Linked DNA regions of Drosophila melanogaster. The protein of the gene in region 1 interacts with the protein of each later gene in a pairwise test. Each region holds a gene or a part of one and is shown on either strand. Other genes may lie near its edges.

What was found.
Region 2: the proteins of CG13220 (region 1) and CG13795 interact in a two-hybrid assay, tested with the Drosophila melanogaster proteins (one large-scale study listed by BioGRID).
Region 3: the proteins of CG13220 (region 1) and CG11379 interact in a two-hybrid assay, tested with the Drosophila melanogaster proteins (one large-scale study listed by BioGRID).
Region 4: the proteins of CG13220 (region 1) and CG12730 interact in a two-hybrid assay, tested with the Drosophila melanogaster proteins (one large-scale study listed by BioGRID).

The regions. Positions count from the first base shown.
Region 1 is NT_033778.4:11,282,384-11,285,631, reverse strand, and holds CG13220 (uncharacterized protein), read right to left. Parts: upstream 1,350-3,248; 5' UTR 1,135-1,349; coding exon 673-1,134; 3' UTR 534-672; downstream 1-533. Other genes in the region: CG9062 (uncharacterized protein), read left to right, coding at 1,907-1,948, 2,027-2,246, 2,309-3,248.
Region 2 is NT_033779.5:7,722,533-7,728,038, forward strand, and holds CG13795 (uncharacterized protein), read right to left. Parts: upstream 3,767-5,506; 5' UTR 3,564-3,766; coding exon 3,401-3,563; intron 3,135-3,400; coding exon 3,003-3,134; intron 2,942-3,002; coding exon 2,778-2,941; intron 2,718-2,777; coding exon 2,629-2,717; intron 2,513-2,628; coding exon 2,043-2,512; intron 1,986-2,042; coding exon 1,837-1,985; intron 1,770-1,836; coding exon 1,641-1,769; intron 1,572-1,640; coding exon 1,365-1,571; intron 1,306-1,364; coding exon 1,024-1,305; 3' UTR 513-1,023; downstream 1-512. Other genes in the region: CG13794 (uncharacterized protein), read right to left, coding at 1-113; CG13796 (uncharacterized protein), read right to left, coding at 4,965-5,225, 5,297-5,503.
Region 3 is NC_004354.4:1,178,399-1,182,084, reverse strand, and holds CG11379 (uncharacterized protein), read right to left. Parts: upstream 1,921-3,686; 5' UTR 1,822-1,920; coding exon 1,216-1,821; 3' UTR 534-1,215; downstream 1-533.
Region 4 is NC_004354.4:5,514,624-5,519,274, reverse strand, and holds CG12730 (uncharacterized protein), read right to left. Parts: upstream 2,668-4,651; 5' UTR 1,855-2,667; coding exon 1,777-1,854; exon of another isoform or gene 1,775-1,776; intron 1,704-1,774; coding exon 1,431-1,703; intron 1,232-1,430; coding exon 1,136-1,231; 3' UTR 504-1,135; downstream 1-503.

The DNA.
Region 1 (3,248 bases):
ATTCATAACTAAGTTGATTCGAATTTTTTGCAGCGCGAAAATCATTTCCTTTTGAAGACAACCGTTGCAACGATTTTCAATGATTTTTTTTAGTATATATAATGGTATATATATATATATACATACTGATTTATTGATAGTTAAGTCCGACCATTGAGCGTTTGTAAAGTATGTATACAAGAATTAAAAATAAGTTTAAAGTGTATAATTCGCAATACAAAAAGAATATATTTACCATAAAGTAGTCGTCAATTCAAAGTCGCCAAGGCAATTTGTAGAATGTTTTAATCCGACAAGAATGTACATATTGGCGTTTCCGATTAGATGTTTTTATATAAACGAAGTAACCATTTATAAAGGTAACGCATATACCACACATACATAACATAAATTAAAACAATTCAATTGTTAAGCATTACTAGCAGTTAAGAGACGGCAATTAAAGGTACATTTAATTTAAAATAAACGCAAACATTTTCAATCTACACCCGGCATTATCCATCTCTTGACACAGCAAAACACACCGCTCAGTCGGGTTTATAGTATAATTTTATTCAAATATGCGGGAGATAATATTGCATTACGAGCTATGTACGGCCAAGACAGCAATTACAGTACGAACCCACTTTTGGGTTCGAATACCTCAGTCCTATATCGTATCGATCAGATCATCTAGTTCTTCTGCAGCTTATCCACGTCCTGAATGTAATCAGTGCCGACCTTCACGATGGCGGCGCCAGTTCCCAAGCCCGCCAGGGTCGCCAGCAGTGCATTGTCCTGTGGCAGGGCGGACTTGATGAGCGCCCAGGCCAGAACGGATCCCATGGAGAATAGGGTGGCGCCCAGCAGGGCGTACGCACCTCGCTTGTTGTTCTTCACGTCCTTCAGGTGGGGCCTGCCGTAAATGTAGAAGGCACTGCCCACCACCGCGGAGATGAGGAACACGTTCGTCAGGTCCTTCTTGGGCAGGATTTTGGGCACGATCTGGGGGTTCATAACATTCACCGCAAGGGCTCCGTAGCTCACCAGGCCGTGCAGCGGTATGTAGTAGTTGAACACATTATCCCGGGTGAAGGGCTTGAGGCCCACTTTGTCGCATATGCTGCAGGCGTCTTTTGACTGTGTCCCGGCCATTATTATCGGTGAAAATGCAATTAAGTTTTTGGATCCCGGTGAGGTCGACGAGTCTTCTTCTTCTTGTTATGTAAAGAATAGGGCTGCCAGGTCGCGATATATGTGAAAGTTATGTCGGTCTTCGCGGACACTCTGCAGATGGTATATCACTGGTTCTAGGTAGATATGTGTATAAAGATGTAAATGTTTTGACCAATATAATATGTCAATGTCTGAGAGATCCTAATATATAAATGTACATATCTGACAGGGAGAGTACTTGTTATCAAGGGCTTTAACGCTTGGAGCGCTCATGTTAGTGGGCGTTTTGCGTATTTGCATAACATTAGCCCCGATATTTCCTGAATGTACAATTAAAAACAAATGTTATAGTTATTTTCTTGGCTGGTTTTTTAAAAATTTTCGAATTTTTAAGTTTAGTGGTTCCGGAACGAGTCACCTTTCTGAACAAGAAGTGTCAACTCTGTTGAACAGCCGGCACGGTGTGCACAACCAGGTGGCAACACCAGCCGGCGCAGGAGAATGAGTGGAGGAGTGCCTGAGAGGTGGGAGGACCGAATGGGGAGAGACAGAGAGCGAAATAGGTGCGAAAAATTTGTAGTTGCCTGGAAATTCCTCAATTTCAATTTGCAAAAAGTAAATATCAGCCGCCCCAAAGCAACGTCGATAAATGTGCGCGCCCCGCGAGCAGAGAACAACCAACGCCAGCTCCTGAAGCACTTCAGTCCAGAGATATCGCCGAGAGCCACAGTGCAGCAGATCCGTGGACGACATGTTGACGCACAAAACTTGTCAGGCACGTAAGAAAATGCAGGTGAGTGCGCCAATTGAAAACGGGAAGGAAAGCGGACACCTAAGCCCAAACTAATTCAATTAAACCGTCGGACGCCAGGTTTCCTTCGTGATACGGGACGCCGAGGAGAAACAGCACCGGAATGGCGTAAACGCTCTGCAGCTGGATGCCAATAACGGCAAGTTGTACTCCGCCGGTCGCGACGCCATAATCCGTGTGTGGAATACACGGACGGACTCCAGCGAGAAGTACATACAATCGATGGAGCACCACAACGACTGGGTCAACGACATAGTACTTTGCTGTAATGGCAGGAACCGTGAGTTGCTCCACCGATCAGTTTAGGCATTCATTCAAACATTCAATCTTTTGCACTCATAGTTATTAGCGCCAGCTGTGATACCACGGTGAAGGTGTGGAACGCCCAGAAAGGCTTCTGCATGTCCACCCTGCGGACCCATCGCGACTACGTGCAGGCGTTGGCCTACGCCAAGGATCGGGAACAGGTGGCCAGCGCTGGACTGGACAAGGCCATCTTCCTGTGGGACGTGAACACACTGACCGCGCTCACGGCGAGCAATAACACGGTTACCACCTCTAGTCTAACCGGGTCCAAGGACTCAATCTACAGCTTGGCCATGAATCCATCGGGCACCGTGATTGTGAGCGGGTCCACGGAGAATATACTGCGTATCTGGGATCCCCGCACCTGTATGCGCAGAATGAAGCTGCGAGGCCATACGGAGAACGTGCGCTGCTTGGTGGTGTCGCCCGATGGAAACCAGGTGGTGTCTGGCAGTTCCGACGGCACGATCAAGGTGTGGAACCTGGGCCAACAGCGCTGTGTTCAAACCATCCACGTGCACAAGGAGGGCGTGTGGTCGCTGCTGATGAGCGAGAACTTCCAGTACATCATCTCCGGCAGTCGGGATCGCAACATCATTGTGACCGAGATGCGGAACCCTAGTAACAAAACGCTTGTGTGCGAGGAGCAGGCGCCCGTGCTGAGTCTGGGCTACAACATCGACAAGACTGGGGTGTGGGCCACCACCTGGAACTCGGACATTCGCTGTTGGAAGCTGCCCATGTACGACAGGTGCACACTAAATTCCTCGGGCGGAATGGACGCACAATGGACACAGGGCGGCACTGAGGTGGCCTGCATAAAAGGTGGAGCCGCCATCAAGGAGTGCGCGGTGCTGAACGACAAACGTTATATCATAACCAAGGACTCACAAGATCAGGTCGTGGTGTACGATGTGCTGAGAGTTGTCAAAAAAGAGCAATTGGGCGCTGTTGATTTCGAAGCGGAGGTGAAGAA
Region 2 (5,506 bases), on another chromosome or scaffold:
AGGGCTAATCCAAAGCAGGCAAATATATAGTCGGTGGGCTTATCCCACTTTCCTCTCTTCAAGTCGGGGGAAAAGGGTTTGTGCCCACTATCATACGATGTTTCATATATCATTTTGTGACGTTAGTATAGCCCGGTAAATTGTGTGAGCAAAGGAATTTGAAAAACTTTTGTATAAAAAGAAATATATCCAATTTCACACGCCGATGGAGGTACTTATTATTAAAAGCTTTGGCAAACAACAAACATTTCGCGAGCGTTTTAAATTGACGAACTAATTAGTAGCAGCGATGCGGACGAACTAAATCCGATTCCGCTGATAAACCGCAGTGTAGCTGATTCCACTGGACTGAGATGCTCATAGCCTATCCCGGACCATTCACACTAGATCGGCCATCAAATACACTTTTAAGAAATAATGTTAAGCATAATTTTTTGAATAAATAGTCGGTATTACTTTGTAATACTATGTAATGTGAACAAGTTCAAACAGACAGTAAGAAGATCCCTAATAATTTAATGTAATATGATGTATATTAATTTGGATATGTTAAAACAAACATCTCAATGAAACTAATACCGTTCCTAAAAGTAGTGAGTCACCGAAGTGGCATTCTGAAATTAAAAGGCATTTCTATACACTAACATGACGTCAATAAGAGTACTTTGCTTATAACCATAATTAATCAATAACTACATTAATAATTACACGTTTTTAAAAGCTCTCTCTCTCTCTCGATAGACAAACTATGTAAGCATTATAATTGTGGACGTCACAGATTTTTTAAGCTCAACTTTATTAACTTTTCCGAGATATCTACGTTTCTCTGGACAGTCACACGTGTGAACCTGATCGATTCAGGTGAGATAAACGCTGTAAAACCCATTGCTGTAAGCATAGTGCAATAAGTGTAGCATTTCCACCTTTCACAATATGATTGTATATATATGCATACCTTTTTTTAAATACGCATTAAAATTACTCATATATTTATATTTAGTACATTTCTAAGTGCATCAGTAACTAGTTGACCTCCTCAGTAACCTCGAAGAGTTGGTGGGTCATCTCCGTGTTGTCCACAGCTTCCTCGTACTGCTGGCGGTGCTCCATCTCAACCGGATACCAATCGGTGGGTCGGCAGGTGCGTTTAAAGCGTTCGCAAAAGGTGCCCGTGCTCTGGTAGAGGTAGTAAAATCCATATCCAGGAATGGCCAGAATGGGCAAAACCACGAGGACAATTGACATCACGAAGACCACTGTTGTGGAATAAGAGTGCTCCGATATGGACAGAGCAATTCCCGCGAGCTAGTTAGTTAAAAGAATATGATTATTCAAAGCAACAAGCAACTAACTAACTAACTAACCAGACAAATGACTAAAATTATTGGAGCTATAAAGCGGAGTATGAAAACCTTCCAGGAGGCAAAGGGCTGGCCCAACATGAACTCAATATCTCGCTGGAATCGTTCGCGACCATAGATCCACAAAACCACCAAAAGGAGCAGTAAGTGCAGCAAACTATGTGAGAAAATGGCATCAAGACCCAAGGCCGAAAAGAAAATAATGCCATGCTAGAAACGGAAAATTGTTTAAAATATTTCTTAATAATATATCTTTTTTGTGTAAACTTAAGTACTTACATTGGTGCAAAAGTAAAAGGAGCAGAGTGCAATACCTCCAATTAGCCCAAAGGTCACCTCTTGTTTTCTCACTCTAAGTACTTCGAACTCATCAAACAAACTTTGCAAAACCGTGAAGATTTGCGTCGTCTGAAAATAAAATTATTTAAGTTTAGTAGCGTGAAAAATAAAAATTAATTGTGTAGATTATCATCACCATCACAATTAGAGCAGCAATTAAAAGCATAGAATAGTATATAAAAGTCCATAGGTTTGGCCAAGCCATTGTGGACAAGGCAGAAGCACTTGACAAATATAGCAGCCAATGGCTCAAAACATGTCCGTTATCATCAACATCGGATAGTTCTGAAAGGGATAACTTCAATACAGTAAAGATATTGCAAATCTATAAAGTGCTATTACCATTAAAGTAGTGTTCCAGCATAAAGGAAACCATGCCAAACATGATATAAATGAAGATCTGTCCAAAGGAAATAATCCAACTATACGACATGATGTCAGTCTTGAAACCGTTGAAACTGGACAGAGTTATTACACTGCCCCAACCAGCTCCGAATGCATGAAGAACCATGATGAATGTGGACACTACTCCCATGGCCATGTCACTTGCCTTTGGAGTCACATATCTGTGGAGCCCGTTAAGAGCTCCCGGAAGGAACAGGAATCGCACAAAGCACACTAAAAGAAGAACCAGGGTAACAATCACCATGTAGCGTATAAGTTTTCCAAACTTGGCCGTCTCTGAGAATTTATAAAAAATAAATGCAATCACAACCCAAATGATTGCGAATAGGCCAACAAAATGCCAAGACAACTCGTAATCCTTATACCAATCCGGAACCGCATCCTGTTGCATGCTATCATAGTGATTTCTGTAAACATAGAGTTAAAAAGAAATTATTTTTAAACAATTCTTAAAATAATATTAAAATATTTGCATTGGATTAATTAGGTAATGTTTTATTGCTATATAAATAGGAGCACTTACTGAAAATAGAGCACGGATGGTACATGGAGCAGCTGGTGAGATCTGTTGTATTCCGAAAAGTCCTCCAAGATCAGTGTCTTATTACAAGACTTAAATATAAAAAATGTACTTAGTCTTCAATTCAATTTAGTCATACACAAATTTCATACACTAGATAGCGTTGCACTTCCATTGTGCCAAGAACTCAAGCCCTCACAGCTCCAAGGTAAAGTGGGTCGAAATGAGTTTATTATGAACAGAAGTGGAACCGCAGCAAAAATGCTATAGTAAATTAGCATGGAGATAGTTAAAAATCCACTCACATATCCCATGCCTGAAATTGATATTTCGATCAATATTTAATATCTGTTTAAACTTCTCGGTTACGTACGTACCTTTAAAGAAAGGCGACAGGCGAAAGGCGGAGATGAATCCACTGCTGGAGAACTGACCCATGAAGGAGTGAATGACCATGATGGGAACCAAGTAAATGGACATATATACAAAGTACGGCAGTATTCCAAGAACTGGTCCAAGCAAATAGTGTATTTAAATAAATGCATTCAAAGATAAAGATTAAATTCTGATGTATAAACTGTTATCTCTTGTGCTGTATAAAGAGACACAATTATTACATTAAATACATAAATATCGACAGAATTAGGCATTGTTTTGTATGTATGTCAGATGAGAAGGTAAGAGAACATTAGCAGAGCACCGCCCCTCCACAGATTAGTCTAAATCCGAACCTTATCAGCAATATAATATACGTAGTCGCCCTTGCGTTACTTACTGCCCATGTCGAAGAACATCCAAAACGATGCCACAAAGACATCCAACTTCAAGGCTAATCCAAAGCAGGCGAACATAAAGTCCGTTGGCTTATCCCATTTTCCTCGATTCAGATCGGGGGAAAAGGGTTTATGCCCGGTATCATACGATGTTTCATATACCATGTTGAACTACCCACAATATTACCGCCAAAATGTGGGCGAGAATGGATTTAAGCAAATTTTGTAAATAAGTATATATAACTACGATCTAATTTTACACTCCCGCAGAGGTAATATTAGTATATATATATTTTTTTTCTGCAACCGATCCGCGAGCGTTTTACTCTAAATTGACGGACTAATTAGTAGAACCGATGCCGGCAAACTGAATCCGATTCCGACAGCAGGCCTCTGTTTAGCTCATCCCTCTTGAATGAGATACCCCAACTTAGGCGATGCACACTTGGTCTTTAATCACACAGTTATTACTATGGAAGTGGGGTATCTTTATACCGAGATTCATTTGAAACCTCCCTCTAATTTCAAACAGATCTGTTGTCAAAATAAAGATATGCTAGGAAAATATATATCTAAGCGAGTTATCTATAGTTTCAAGCTTTCGGTTATCAAAATAATTGTAAATTTGTTATTACACGTTTTGTAAGTGTATTTCCGATCTCGACCATAAATTTGCATTTATTGTTATTTTGCTTTAAATTCAGATTATTAGAGCTCTTATATCTGTGCCTGTCTCTCTTATGTGCGCCTATCGTCGTGCATTGCCAAGTTCATTTCGATTTTGGAACTGGAAACTGATATGGTCGTGCTCGGGAAATGGGATGACAAACAAGACAGCCGCAAAGTTATCAAATCTGGGGGAAAACTCAGACAGCAATGCAAAAGCAAGTAAACCCCATAACGCCCTGGCTGTTGATTTCAATAACGCATTGATAATGTCTTAATATTTGTTTTTTCTTATGTTTGTTTGTTATTAGCGATTAGTTTTAGGTAATAATATACAATTACCTCATATATTTTTCAAACTATTATTATTTTGCATGCATTTAAAAACATGCTTCTAACAATCTACTCTAAACGTCATATATTCTATAACTAAAATTCCAAAATTATTATTATTATTAGTGCGACATTAAATAGTTTAAAGTGCTGACAGCCGTATATCATAAATTTAACTCTTTTCCTTATACGTTTACCAACTTCAAAAAAAGACTTCAACATTTTCAATGCCTAAAAGGTAAAATTTTATTAGTTCATAACAATATTTTTGGCCGAAGCTTGTTGAACATTTTAGTAGGAAACTACTAAATATCACCAGTATATTGTTCACTATAGCTAGCTTTTGGAAAATATCAGTACAACTTCATTACAACAACTAACAATCGCCATTGCCAATGGATCCGCTTATTTATATACTAGTGTGCGTGTTTGTTATTGTATTTTTTGCATGTGTGAATGTGACCGCATATGGGTGTATAATAAAAGTGAGTTCAGTTCAGTTCATTTGTCAAGTGACGACGCTGTAAGTATTGAGTTTTGATCTAGGGAGTATTCGATATTTAGGCACTATGTGGTGTTGGCATTGGCATCTATAACCAGCATCTCCGAGATGCCCATGATTTCCTCGTAGAATCGCCGGTTGTCCGCATCCACCGGATGCCAGTCATGTGGTGCGAGGCACTGTTGCAATCGCTGGCGCCAATCGCCATTCGTCCGACATACCTTGTAAACCATATAAGATATGGCCGTTAGGAGAATCAAGCCCTGACTCACATAAATCAGGACATCGTGTATGCGATCACGCGTAAATAAATAGGTTAGTTGAAACTGCAAGAAATTCCAATAATATCAGTCATTAACTATATACAAATAATTTTATAATAATAACCACTACTCACCAGACACAGTCCCAGAAAAATGGGCGTGGCAAAGCGTATAAAGAAAATTTTGAAACTTGAGATCGTTTTGCCTAACATAAACTGCAAGTCGCACTGGAAACGAACGCGTCCATAAACCCAAGTGGTCATCAGCACAAGGATTCCCGAAATAAGCAAGTGTGTAAACACTGCCAAATTTGGCAGCTGAGTCAGCTGACTAAAGCCCAACTG
Region 3 (3,686 bases), on another chromosome or scaffold:
GAGAAAAGTTAAGGGATCGTGTTCATGAAAAATATTTGCGATAATATATTTTACTTGTTAACCCAAAGGATATTATAAAATAACATTTTGCTGCTTATACCCGAAGCTGATTTTCAGGACGCGAAGTGCATCCGAAATGGAAAAATTGTATCGTAAGCTGCACTTGTAACTGAACTATATCTGCTATAGCAGCTTAGTTAATTCTGCAACACGAAGGTCAGATATTTTGGAACACCTTTCGATTTTATTATAAGCACAGAAAAAAAAAGTATGCGTATTTCACCTCGCTGAATTTTCTCTGCGATTTGAGTTTGAATGCTGCCTGGGAGCGTGGAAAACACTTGCACTTTTCCTGGCGAGCGACGCGCTTTGATTAACACGGCTGCATTGCCAGCCAGGCTTTTATATCGCTCGACGACCCGACCAATTTCCCGCAATTGGCAACAGGCTGCGGCTGCAGTTTTAACCAGTGCGAAACACGACAGCGCGCCAGCAAGCAACAGCATTTGGCTGGCACTGCCTTGGAAGCATTTCAGCGGCATTGTTGCGTGTGCCAGGCTCTTGCATGTCGCTAGTTGCAAGTTGCAAGTTGCTAGTTGCCAGTTGCTATTTGCTAGTTGCCAGTTGCTGTTTGCCGTCGTGGTGTCCATCGCTTTTGGCTACGCTTCAAGTTCAAGTTTACAGCCATCGATCGCGCATCAGAGTAATGGTTTCGTTTTCGCTTTCGATCGACTTGCTTTGCTTTACTTTGAGCCGCTGGGTTCCGTCTTCCGAATCCGAAACCGAAACCGAATCGGTTGTTTGGGGGCGTGTCGCTTTTGGATCTCGGATCGGTCCTCTTCCGCATTGCATATGGGTACGGCTACGGCTAACGAGTTTACAAGTCTTTTTCGGGGGGATGACAGCCCCCAGTGGTTGGCAGTTTGGCCGGTAGTTGTCCGCTTCAAATTGGCTTCATGGATTCGGTCAGAAAGTGGTCTTGCGATTTAATATATGTTCGATTTTTGAGTTTATTTTTTTCTTAAAGAAGCTAAAAGAAACTACGCTTTGAATCGAAATTTACTATTATGGTTATTCATAATTCAATTTATGATGCAGCCCGTTGTGTCCCACTGTGCCTATTAAAACGCTTTTAGTATAATTTGAACCATAAATTTAGCTATTGACTGAGGTAGTGTGATATGGCTGTGGAAGTGGAATGGTCACCCCTCCGTCTCAATTGGCAAAGCTCTGTGCGCTTCCCTGGGATTGGGTCTGCATTGGAGTGCCGGGCTCGAGACTTCCGAAGATCAGCGCGGAGCAGCGGCGATGAAGGGTGCGACGCCAGTCGAGCATCCCGCAGCGGAGCTTCTGGGGCAACGCGGTGGCCCATAGGGAAAGCCACAGAAGACATGCGCCGATCAGGCCGGTAGTCAGGCCCAAAGTCCAGTACTCGCAGACCAGGAAGGTTTGCTCCTCGACGGCCAAGGCCTGGAGTATGCCCACAATGGCGCACTGGCAGAGGGACTCTATGCGATGCCACAGTTTGCTAAGGGTCAGATCCAGCACCAAACAGCAGACGCCTGTCTCCAGTAAGAGCGATGCCCAGGACGACTCATTGCCGCGAAGGTTTCGATTCCCATTCCTGAACCGCTGATCGGCGGGCAGGGCACTTGAAAACATCCTCACCCCGTGAAGAAGGGTCACCACGCAGGCGGAAAAGAGCCAGGCGCCCAAGAGAGGAGCAGCGGAGCCGGGAGATTCGCGAAAGTAGTAGTAGTACGAGATGCCCAGTACCGAGTGAAGCAACACCGCCATGATCAAGGCCATTAGTCGAGCCATCTCCAGATGTCCTCCTAGGTGTACACTTCCAGTTTTACGGGAGTAAATTCGGGTCAGAAAGCCTTAAACTGAATTATTCAACTGACTTTTAAAGCAGCAGTCACTACTTGGTTAACTCCGAACACTTGTGTACAAGTATTCCTTGTTATTTTAAGAAGTGATACAAAAAGCAAGTTGTAAACTCTGTTAAAGTTTTTAAAGGCAATATTTAATATATTCGATGTTATCTTTTCAATTTATAATTTATATATTATGATTTATACAGCATTCTTGCGTGGCAGAATACCCCATCGGTAATGGCATAGGTTTCCTCTTTGTGTAATCACAGTCACTGTCTGCGTCACAGTTGAAGTCACAGACACCGCGCCAATTGCAATTATCACCACAAGTCAAACAGGCTCAGATGTCAAGGCCTTGTTTTCCTCATTTTCAGTGGGCTCATTACGTGAGGCAAGTGGAAATGGGAAATGTGCTCGATAGTAGTCAGCTTACTTTCATTTTTGTTTCGGCCAAAGCTTTGCGGCTCCAACTTTTGGACTTTAAAGCTTGAGCATGATCATGGAGAAACTCATAGATAAGCTCTTCCAGATCTTTATATGTACAATAATATATATGTACGTCTGGTAAACCAAGATGATTTATAAAATGATTAGGCTGGTTGGCATGGAATAAAATTTCTTGCATGCACTTGCTCCGCACTGTTCTCTGCCGACATGACGTCCCAATCCTGGTGATGCTGCTCCGCTTGCTCTGTCAGCAAGTCATAAATCTTCGGCTTCAACTGAACTTGATACATCAAAATGTTGGTCAAATTAAATTTCTTGCGCCTCGTCCTTTCCCGCACAGCTCGCCCCCGCCCCGCCCGCTGCTCCTTGATTCTCCCAGGGATTTCACTAGGAGCAGCTGCCAAGTAATTCGTCAAGCTGCTTTGTCCTCCTCCAGCGGCTGTTCTTATCTCATCTCTGGGTGAGCATTGTTGCTCCGCTCCTCTGTGCTGTGCTGTGCTGTTCTGTACTGTTCATCTGTCTGACTCCACCACCTACCAATCTACCTACCGACCTACCACCCCCATCCCTGTATCCCTGTATCGCCCCGTTTTGGCTGGCTTTCATGTCAACTGCATTTTTCTTTTGCTGTGTTGCTTGTTGTGTGCTGTGCGCTTTTTCACTGCTTTAAACCACTTAATGGGTTTTTTTTATGTGGACCTGGGTTAGATGGAAAAGCGCAAGGAGTGGGAGGCGGCCTGGCGGTGCCTCGGGGCTATTCATGCTGCAGCTTTCTTGTAGCTTCATTCACAAAGACTTGCAATTCATCAAATCTCGTTAGCCTCGGCTTTTATAGAAAATCTGCAGCTGCTTTTGCTTCTGCTTTTCTTTTCGGGGTTTCGGGGGGCTGTGCTCCTCTCATTCATCTGCCACGCCCACGGACACGGAGTGGGCGTGGCCGAAGCTTCAGCACCGATTCGAATCCCCGTCCGCATCCGCTTTACCATTTCCAAACGGCATCCTATCCTCTGGGATCCTCTGTCATTATTGACTGGCAACGACTTTAAGGCAACTTTTGTTCCGCTCCCATGCGCTTAACTTTAAGGGCTTTACCTTCTCCACCTGAGCTGAGCTCCGATCCATGCTTCTTCCTTTGAGCTAATGAAAAGTGTGTGTCTCCCAAAATGGAGTGGAATCCTTGCAGCTGCAGCTTGCATCATCAGGCTCTCCCAGCGAATAGCTCGTCTAAATAAAAGTAAACCAAAGCTCTGCCAAGGAGCAACAATAAACGAGTTGGCCAATGCATTTTTAATGCAACCAACCACCCAACCACCTGTACAAATCCGTTAGGGAGGAATGGGGATGCTCTCGAGGTTCTCT
Region 4 (4,651 bases), on another chromosome or scaffold:
GGAGCCCCCAAAAACAACACAAACAATAGACGAGCCAAGTGCTTTTTTGTGGGCGTTGGGTGCTGCTTGTTGGGTGATGATGGTTGTTGCGTTTGTGGGTGGTTCAAAAGATTTGAAAAGCCAACAATGGCAACAGCTTACAGAGCACCGAAACCAAAACGAAAACGAAACAAGAAGCAAAATCAGACAGGGGGGCACCATAGTGTACCTGTTTATTTTCAGTTTCAATGCGGATAAGGTAAACAAAGGTTGGCGATATCTTTTTCATGGAGCGCCGGTTGCAAAAATTCTATCCGGCAATGTTAGGTGAAAATAGCTTGTTGTGCAAGCAAACATGGTCGCAAAAGTAGTTCGTGTAGTAAAATAAATAAACAATAGCCTCGGGAAAGTGGCCTTTTGCGTAAATGAATCAATAACAATATGCACGATCAACAATTGACATTCAAGCCCAATTTACGCATATGAACTCTCATCATTAAAAAACACCCTTCATTTACAAATTACATTTATGTATTTTTGTTTTATTCTTCCATTGCAAACGATTTATTTGTTTATAAATACAACAATTCAGTGGTCATGAAAAGCATTGTGCTAAAAACTAACTACTTCAATGTATATTCACTTGAGACACACAAATACTATGTACTTAATAAAAGTAAAAAAAAAATCGGGTATATATATGTACATATATATTCACGCATTGTTAACCAGTTATCAGAAGAAGGGAAGAAGCAGAGCCAGAAGGCACAATACAACTTATCTCTTTGGAATTTGCTCTCTTGTTAGTGGTTTTCTCTCGCTTTCTGTTCGCTATTATATCTACGTTATTGCTGCGATCGACTGGCTTTATCTTCTTCACTTCTTGACCTATATCTAGCGACTATTAGATAACACATACGGTAACTGTTCCCGCGACAAAAGCTTGCCACAATTTCAAACTTCAGACTTAAATGCTTCAAGCAAACGCAAGCGATACTCGCTCTCTCAAAACAAACTCACACACACGCGCACGCACTGGCACTCACACAGATACTCGTTCGCACACAGATACTCGCTCTCACACAGATACACACACAGAGTAAGCCTAACGTAGTAAGAGCCACCAAAAGCTGGGTTCGTGCACCTGAAACCAAGTCTATATCGTTTGGGTGGCCACCTCCCGCTGGCGACTGCGCCGATAGTTTCCATAGGCCTCCAGTCCGTTGATGCAAAATGCTGTCAGGCCAAAGAACTGTAAAAAAAAAGGTGAAGAATAGGGTGTATTAGACGGATCTACAGAGAGTTCATCACAGCGAGGGAATGAATCGGCTCCAACTGGAGGCTCAGTGTTTCGTTTACCAGTATCTTTCCTAGCTTAATCATTAGCCGAAACAATGAGCCGTAATACTTTTGGTTTCCGAACTTATCCTAACTGCGAGAACGCCACTTACCGCCGCCGCCGTATAGGCTCCAATATCCAGGGAGAGTACGAGTCCGGAGGCCGTGAAGTAGGCCAGGGCCAATGAGGAGTGCACCGCCAGGGACCAGAGCGTGGGATCGCATCGGCAGAACTGGCGCTGCCACAACCGGAGATACCTGGCCAGGAGCAGGCAGCCGGTGGCCACGAATCCGATGGTGACTACGGCCAGGTAGAAACTGCCGCGGAAATTGCTCACGCGCACCGGTCCGCAGATGATGCACAATATTCCAACAAAGCTGCACAGCTGAAAGACGCACACATACAAGCGCACACATTAAGGGCGATACACAATGGCACATATGTGTAAGGCTAATTACCAAACAGGCCAGCTTGCACAGGCCCGGCATGCTGAGCAGGTATTTGCGATCGTAGTCCTGGGTTCCCGTCAACGACATCGCGGCCAATACAAGATATATACGTTTTGGATGCAGTTAATCCAGATTGTCCAGCCGAATAGATGCCTCAGAAACGAGCGATTAAAGCCAATGTAGCAAATGTAGCGAAGCGCCGCTGACTAATTCATATTGCGCTCGCCAGCACGCACAGAATGCCACTGAAGTAATACAAACAACACAAATACTCAGAATTCTCCCATCGTTACACTCGGCGAATAAAACTACAATTGCGAGAGCGAGAGAAGCAGCGGGCGAAAGAGAGAGAGAGAGAGAGAGAGAGAGAGAGAGACAGAGAGCGAGCAACACATGGCACAGTGGGACGAAACGATCAGGAAATGTAGTACATATTGTGTACAAATTGTGTTATCTACTCAAATGGTATCTAATGAAACTATAAATATTAAGGAGATTAGCTTTAGCTGGGTATTTATAAAAAATAGGATTATTAGTTTAAGAAAGCTGTAATTTCCAATAAATGAATAAACCATATTAACTTGTCTTACTAACTGTAGTTTTGGGGGTCTGTTCATTGTGAATGCTTCTTCGTTACATTATACTAATTTTCGTTCGGGGGATGTCAAGGGGTGAATCTAACACGGTGTGACTCACTGACCTCCAGGGATATATTAAATATATGTATATTCATAAGGCAAGGTGACCGGTTACTGGGTGAGCAAAGCTTTTTTAGTCGTGTGAAGTGCCGAGCTTTTATGACTGGCATTGCTTGTGACATGCAGTTTGAGGTTGGGCCCTTTTTGGACCACTGTGCATTCGAATTTCCATCTGTATCTTAATGCCCAGCATCATTAGATTGTGCCATTCGAATCGTATTTGTTATCGGCTATGACCGAAACGCTTCTCGTTATTTTAATCGGCACAGCAGGCTAATTGATTTAGTTACTTAACGGATAAATCGCTGCACAAATCCGAATGCGAATGCAAATGCGAGCCTCCCAAAATCAAATGCAATTTCGTCGTGATTCACATTGCAAAACACAAGCTGCCCAGCACATATCATACGGAATACGTGAATATACACAAACCATTTGGTGGCCAGATAAGTTTGACGAACTTTGAACACACTACTCCATACAAAAGAAAAAAATTTTATGATACAAAGCTACAAAGATATTACAGATACAATTTTTTCATTCATTTAATTTTGATTTCTCGCTACTCATGTACTATTTTCCACATTCAATTGTTAAAGTTCTTGAAAATGCATAGATACTTGTATAGGGTAGCAGTCGAAACACTCTGGCCCGACATCAAATTGAGTTATATTAATTGACTCATATTCATGAGAGGTGGCTCGTTTACGAAATGGCCGCATGGGTGGCCCCCGCCTCCTGGCCAAGGTCACTTGCACAATCGCCTCGACTGACTGAGATTCAGAGACATTCACAGTTTCACAGATTCACATATTCTAATGCAGAGCGGAAAATGCTGAGTGAGATATCTATGCGACGGAAATCGGCCACAACAAGCGGAAATGAGCACGAAAATCATAAATGAACTGCACTTGAGCAATTTAAGCGATAAAGTGCAGTTTCCATTTCGAGGGTAACAAACAGTCAGACGACTGCAGGGCAACTAATGTCTACATGATTTCTAAAAGCTCATGCATATATATGTATAAACATATATATATACATAAATATGGGAGGCACGAGATTTGCGCTCATCGATAAGCATCGAATCGTCTGGACAAGCGGGGAAAATGTGCGGCGGAAAAGCGAAGAAAATTGACTGGAGAGCGGATTTACACTTGAGGGCGTGCGAGTCTCAATGGCAAAAAGCTATGATTACCTATGGACATTTCTTTGATTTCTTTAGGACTTTGAATTCGATAAGTGCACAGAGGACTTTATAAATGTGCGCTTTAAACCACTGAATAACAGCAAAAGCATCTAAATAGTTTTTAACTAAATATCCAACTTATACTCAGTGGCACGTTGCTGAGAGTGCATTGTTTAGTGATATATCTCGCCTACGATTCATGCACATGGCTGGTTTTTCGCTTACGCACTCAGGCAATTTCCATCGCTTTTCCACCCATGTTGTAGAGCAGCGGAGAGAGAGGGGGGCGGGGCCGGGGGGAATTGGAAAATGTGGGTGCATCTAATTAGAAAAGCATTCGCTGTAATTGCCAGCTGCTGCATCAGCAAGATTTTGTTTGCTTTGGCGACGGGATAACGTGGAGCAGGACCAAAGGCAAAGCGACATGTGAGCTATTAAGCAGTGTTCTGGCTGAAAAAATCCAGTTTCAGATGCATCAGAAGCATCTTTAATAATGACAAACTTGGCGATAACTATGACCAATTAAACGAAAGTTGGAGTAAACGTTTGCGAGCAGGCAGATAATTAGTTTCAGGCACTTTGAAGGAAGTTCGAAAGAAAGCGGCAAGTTGGGCCGTAGCCATTTCTCAACCTCGACAAAGAAGTGTGCCAGCTGGGTATCTGTCAGATACAGATACTAAGTTGCCCAGATACACGGCTCGATTTGAATGCAAATTTCGTGCAGTGGCTGTCAGACTCTGCAGCTGACGTGACAAGACCAAGACCACCCCCCCTAATTTCGAATCCCGAAATACCCCAAAAATAGCAACGACCTCAGCATATCTGCCAAGTGAATTTGAATCTGATATTCCCTTCGACTTTGGGCGCTTTTTATCCGCCAGCTGACAACCACCCCCATTTCCCCCCTCGGATTTTCCAGCTTTTTCCCCCCCGGGGAACAGAACATTTATGCGCCTTATAAATGATTATCGTGTGCACTCAAGTGCCAACGTCATCA